2 linked regions of the Drosophila melanogaster genome follow. The protein of the gene in region 1 interacts with the protein of each later gene in a pairwise test. Each region holds a gene or a part of one and is shown in the gene's direction. Other genes may lie near its edges.

Region 1 (3,164 bases):
CATATCAAATCACATTTTATTATCATAGAAACAAAACAAGGGTTCAAAATAACAGCGGTCGCATGGGTGTTTACAATTGGGCGACGGTGTACGCAGGGGCGGTGTACCGCAGAGGCGTGGCATAGGCAGCGGTACGCAGAACGGGAGCGGGAGCAGCCACCGCCAGAGGGGCGGAGCGGACGAACGGAGCGGCAACTGCTAGGGGAGCGGACTTGATCAGAGGAGCAGCGACGGCCACTGGAGCGGAGCGCACAATGGGAGCTGGTGCGGCCAAGGCGACAGGGGCGATGGGGGCGACTGGAGCGGCCTTGACCAATGGGGCAGCAACCTTCAGCAACGGCTCGGCGGCCACAACAGCGGCAAGGGGTTCACGGCGGACGACGGCGTTGAATCCGTTAATGGAATCGGCGGTATAGGTCACGGTGCGCTTAAAGCCATCGGCGTCGATCAGGGAGTACTCGCCGCGGACCACGTCACCATCGCGCTCCTCCACATGCCCCTTGTTGTCGCCGGAAAGCGTGTCCTGCACGTCGTAGCTGTAGGTGTACTGAGGATGCGGATCAACCTCCTCCAACTCAACGGTCTTGGCCAAAACTGGCACCGGAGCAGAAGCCACTGCCACTGGAGCAGCAGTTCTAAGGACGGCGCCATGGGCCACGGCGAACAGAGCCAAAGCGATAACAATCTGCGGAATAAATTACACTCTTTTTAGGATTTTTTTTTCCAAGATAAAAAGGCGAAGGCAGTCTGGTAATCCACTAGTAGTCCCCCGGAACGTTTATCCTCCAATTGGTAGCACAAACCTTTGCTGCCATTGTAGTTGGATGAATTTGATTAACTGCTGTCTTGAGCCGAAGCCAAACACTGAATGTCTGACCCATTGTGGGCCGTTTATTTTATACGCTACTTGGTGACATTGATGACACCTAATTGGAATTCATTTTTGGCGCATCACCTCGAGCGGCGCCGGTGGCATGTAAAAATTGTCACGCACCTTCTTCAGTTCTGCCAATTTCGATCGGTCGAAATAACCAGCTGCACTTAATTGATTACGCCAAGCCAATTTTAATTACTATTTTCCTTAAACTTGGAGTCTTCTTATTCAATTTTGTTGTTTTTCTTTTGGAAAGTACAACAAAGTAAGTGTGTATAATTGAACCCATTTTTTATAAAAAGGGAATAAAAGTTCTGATCTTATTTGTTTAAATATTTGCTAGTCAAATTATTAAATACGTTTTGAGTTTGTATCCATAGGTTTGTCTTGGTGAGGTATAATGAATATTTTATGTTGGGATCATAATTTGATTATTATGTATTTAAAACACATTTCCTACAAAGTTGTATAATTTTATTAACCTACATAAAATATTACAAATATGTTACAAAAAAAAGTTTTAAGCATGTTAAAAAGCTGTTCGCCTGTGAACTATCTTCAAATTTTGGAAACCAAAGGTGGGTGATAAAAAATAATAATTTTAATTTAATAAAGCTACGATAATTTAGATGTTTTGAGTTAATATCTTTTTAAGCGACCTTTTTGCCACAATATTAACTGTCTTGTAAGCTAACTGGATTTAGTAAGCAGTGATGTCACAGCGCACGCTCTCCGTTTCTCTCGGATAAATTGAAGTTATTTGATGACAAAACACAGAGATACAAAGATTGAGCACGCCTTCAAGCTTCACTTTTCCCTCTCCACACACGTTTAGCATAAATGAATTGCACTAATTACGCCAAGAGCGTGGCCCGCCGGCAAAAGCGAGTTCGGCCATTCAATGGTAGCAGCAGCTGAAGAAATAGCTCCATCTCGGTATATAAGCCAAGTGTTGGCCCAGTAGCCCTCACAGTTCATTTTGCCTTCCAACAACCAACAGCAGCAGCAGCAGCAGCCAAATCAATCCAAATCAAAATGGCATTCAAGGTTCGCCCCGAGGACTTAGCCCCGCCAAAGACCCACATCCTAACTGCTTTCCCTCTTTCAGTTCATCGCCCTCTTCGCCCTGATCGCCGCCGCCAGCGCCGGTGTTCTGCCCGTCCAGCAGGTGTACCACGCCGCCCCCGCCGTGGCCACCTACGCCCAAGCACCTGTCGCCGTTGCTCACGCCCAGCCGGTTCTTGCCAAGGCCGCCGAGGAGTACGATCCCCATCCCCAGTACAAGTACGCCTACGATGTTCAGGACTCCCTCTCCGGAGACTCCAAGAGCCAGGTGGAGGAGCGCGATGGCGACGTGGTCCGCGGAGAGTACTCCCTGATCGACGCCGATGGCTACAAGAGAACCGTCCAGTACACCGCCGATCCCATCAACGGATTCAACGCCGTTGTCAACCGTGAGCCCCTGGTCAAGGCCGTCGCCGTTGCCCCCGTTGTGAAGACCGTCGCCGCTCCCGTTGCCCACTACGCCGCCCCTGCTGTCGCCCATTACGCTGCTCCCGCTGTGGTCAAGACCGTGGCTCCGGTTGCCCACTACGCTGCTCCCGCCGTGGTCAAGACCGTGGCTCCAGTTGCCCACTACGCCGCTCCTGCTACCTACACCTCCTACGCCGCCCCCGCTGTTGCCTACCACCACTAAGAACTGTCATTTTACGTTTCTCAACCCATTACTGTTATAGTTTTACAATTGCCTCCTACAAATACACACAAATATTAAAAAAAATTTTTTTTTTTATTTTCATCTATTGATCATCTATTTTCATCAACGGCAGCTGAAACAATTTCGGATTTGTTTTATCCGGATAAAATTGAGTCAAGGAGATAGCGTCTTCATTAATGACATTCTAATGTGTTTCAATTAGATGTGTTAGCCATATTTAATACCTATAAAAAATACTGCAAAATCTTTACAAAAATAAAAAAAAAATCTCAAATATTTTGTTTAAATAATATGTGCAATTTTAAAACCATCAGCTTATATTTTTGATTGCATTAGATATTTTTATATTGATAGGGTATTGATGAAGTTATGATTAAAACTAACAGAGTCAACATAAAAAAGTTAATTCTTGAGAGTTATAGATATAACAATATTATTTTAAATATTTTTTTAAAAATGTATGATATGTTTATACCCTGCGCGTCTATCTAATCAAACTAAGCTTAATAAAATATGCAGTTGATAATAGACTATCAGATACGCTTTAGATATCATCAGCAAGTTTTATAAGTT
Region 2 (3,494 bases), on another chromosome or scaffold:
AAAATGTATTCTTTGTGGCAGTACTCGATCTTGCTGTTCGTCCTGATGATTGGCCAACTGGCTTTGGTGATCTACATGTGGGTGCAGAAGGACAAGTACCTGGAGATCATGGGCGACGTGGTCGAGAAGGCCTGGAACCATCGCACCAGTCGTTCCGACTACATGGACGCGATTCAGATCAGCGTAAGTATTTAGGGACTTCCAAGGACATGTGACCCGCCTTCAACTGACTTTCTGCCGCTCCCGCAGATGAAATGCTGCGGACGCAGTGGCTACACCGACTACGCCTACCAGGGCAAGTTCCCTCCCTCCTGCTGCAGCGACACCAACAACTGCCGCTGGGAGACCGTCTACCGGCGGGGATGCAAGGTCACCTTCGTTGAGTTCTGGGACAGGAACAGCGACATCATCAAGTATGCCGGTCTGGTCATCGCCGCCATCGAAGTAAGTTATTGTCCAGAGTAACGCAATCGAACGAAATCGATCATCGAATCTAGGTGCTTCCCCATGTGAATTTCGAAAATATGATGGATGGGTTCATGTTACCTACCTTCCATTGTGATTTCTTGGGGATAACCAAAAAGTACTAAGTAATGTAAATCATAATTCGTAGCAATGCAGTTTAGTTTGTTATTTTACCATAAGCGTTATGAGATTTACACCTACATGTATATCTTCCAATATACCATACTCTGTTTGCTTTCAGTTTGTGGGATTCGTTTTCGCCTGTTGCTTGGCGAACAGCATTCGGAACTATAGACGCCGTGCGGAATATTAATCGACAAAGGACTAAGGCCTTGCACTAATTTTAATTGAAACCGAAAGTACGAATTATGTTGCCCAATTTTACGAATATTTACCTGATACAGATGGCCATTCAAATTTGCATAATCTCAAGCGTAAGCAGCAAATGCAGCAAATCCAATGACGAATGCGTAACGATCACTTTTGTAAGATCGTTTGTTCAAAGTTACACTGAATGTGCTAATATGTTTAACTGTACAAAATAACTTATACTCCTGGAGATTGCAATAAACGGAGAAATTTATTTACAATTTACGAAAAGAGTTCAGTCTTTGTCTTAATGGGAAAGCTTACATTGTTTGCAATTCGACTTAATCCCTAAAGCACCTATTTTTCTAAATTGCCACGGGAGGATTTCGGCCATTCGCGATAACGTTTTAATCTGCAAAGTAATAAGTATAAATAGAGTTGGCCGAAACCAACAAGTACACTTTGATTACAGATCATTATCAATCATTGGCTCTATTGACATATTTCCGTAGAACTAACCTATCAGAAGACTATATTTAGTTAGTTAGCTTTTTAGGGCTCAGACGAAATCTTATCTCCATTGAGCTATTTTATCTATGAAGGGCACATAGCCGTTTTGTGAATGTCAATGGGAAATTATTCCGCCGTGGAAACCCCAATAGTTGCCAAAATCTTGTTGAAGTTAGGCTGGGAGTGCACTCGCTAAAAGGTTTATTGCTCGATTGATAGTACATAAATCTAGGCGATAAGATCGGGGACTCACGGGGAAACGGACTCCAAGCAACGTAATATGTGAGTCAGCGTGCACCGCGTACTCTTGACTGGTGATAAGGCAAGGTGTGGAGGGTGTGAATGATTCATCTTATGAACGATCTAACGCCCCCAAGATGGAATCGCACGAGGGCTAGATAAAATTCCGCCACCAGCAGTTTGCACCTACCATTCGTTGAATGAATCATTGCGCCAAGGATGTAATTTCCCAGGTTCGGACCACCACAATGATCTGGTATCTCGTGGGTGCAAAGCGATTCACCAAGTACAAGTACATGGGCATCGGAGCTTCCAGCACAAGTACATACGGAATTTTATGGCCGAGATAAGAGCGCAGCCGATAAGATGAGGACTCCGAGTAAGCTTTAATAGCCGCGTTCTGTCCGAGGGCCCATTCAGTTAGACGAACATCGTCACATCGAACGAACGGATTATCCAGCTAGCCAACGAGAAACCCGAACAGAACCCAGCACCATGAACTGTCTATCCGCGATGTTCAAGTACCTGCTGTACTTGCTCAACCTGGTGTTCGTGGCCGGTGGCATCCTGCTCATTGTGGTGGGCTCCATCATGCTCTCCACGATGGGCAACTTTACGGCCTTCGACGGAGGCGTTAACACCCAGACCATCCCGATCTGCATTATCGTCATCGGAAGTGTCACCTTCGTAGTGGCCTTCTTCGGATGCTGCGGCACCATTCGCGAGAACGCCTGCTGCACCACCATCGTAAGCACTCGGAAATCACCCACTGACCGAAATTGGATTCTAAATGACTTGGCATTCCTTTCAGTACGCCATCTGCATGCTGATTCTGTTCGGCCTGCAACTGGCCCTCTCCATCTGGATCTTCGCGGCCAACGACAAGTTCCTGTCCAGCATGGGCAAGGCAGTGGACAAGGCGTGGGATGAGAACAATGCCGCCCAGGGATACCCCATGGATGCCCTCCAGTTGGCCGTAAGTTTATCGAAATTCACCATCAGATGTCATTAGTTTTTTCCGGATATTTACGTATCTATTCCATTGCAGTTCTCTTGCTGTGGCAACACGGGATACCAACAGTATGAAACCGTGCCCAGCTCCTGCTGCGGCTACAAGGATCGCACCAAGGTGTGCGAAGCGGAGATCTACAGCCAGCGACCTGGCTGCCGGCAGGAGTTCGTCGATTTCTGGGCCTCCAATACGGACCTGATTCGATGGAGCAGTCTGATCATCGCCCTCTTCGAGCTGGGCATCTTCATCATGTCGTGCTGCCTGGCCAGCGCGATGAGGAAGCGCTAGAGCCGAAGTCAGATACAATCCTTAGACGTAGCCCAGTTCATAGCATAAATCCAACACACGAATTCCTCACTCACTCACTCACCGTAAATAAACCAGAATAGGTTAAGCCCAATGAAATATTATTGCTTATTCGCTGTCTACCTCTGGCTGCCGTCTATCTAATCAAGACAGGTTGATGTTTTTCCAAAAAGTATGTCCTTATCGGCCTGTTAGCCGAGTGCCGCGTTTCCGAGATCGAATGCCCTCAGTAGTGGTGAATCACCTCCATATGGCAATGGCTATCGATCTCCGCCCGCCGCCCAGTGCCCATTATCTATTTTTCGTTTCGGCCATGATTATGATAACAGGCACTTGCGTATCTTTCCTCCGATAGCGCCCGTGTCTGTTGGCCAATTTAAAAACAGTAGCCCATCTGGAGGAGCAGTCCAATCGAACGACAGTAAACGACGCGAGTGCGCGATAAAATCAGAGACACCGACAACTCCTTTGGATAAAACAATAGTGTTTATTTAATTCTACTAAATACAGGAGCAAACTATATACTTTCAAAATGGGTTGTCTATCGGGAATAGTCAACTTTATTTTATATATTGTCAATATCGTGTTTTTGGTAAGTGCTTGTCGGTTGAGTATCTAAGTAAAAGGAATTAATAATGTAATGAGACGTGTA

Evidence for each region. Proteins that work in one complex are often made in the same cells at the same time.
Region 2: the proteins of Ccp84Ad (region 1) and CG30160 interact in a two-hybrid assay, tested with the Drosophila melanogaster proteins (one large-scale study listed by BioGRID).

Annotation. Positions count from the first base shown.
Region 1 is NT_033777.3:6,690,889-6,694,052, forward strand, and holds Ccp84Ad (Ccp84Ad), read left to right. Parts: upstream 1-1,843; 5' UTR 1,844-1,909; coding exon 1,910-1,921; intron 1,922-1,982; coding exon 1,983-2,570; 3' UTR 2,571-2,639; downstream 2,640-3,164. Other genes in the region: Ccp84Ae, read right to left, coding at 71-685, 804-815.
Region 2 is NT_033778.4:7,003,199-7,006,692, forward strand, and holds CG30160 (uncharacterized protein), read left to right. Parts: upstream 1-1,958; 5' UTR 1,959-2,019; coding exon 2,020-2,271; intron 2,272-2,335; coding exon 2,336-2,500; intron 2,501-2,572; coding exon 2,573-2,824; 3' UTR 2,825-2,938; downstream 2,939-3,494. Other genes in the region: Tsp42Ea (tetraspanin 42Ea), read left to right, coding at 22-183, 250-444, 707-778; Tsp42Ec (tetraspanin 42Ec), read left to right, coding at 3,375-3,434.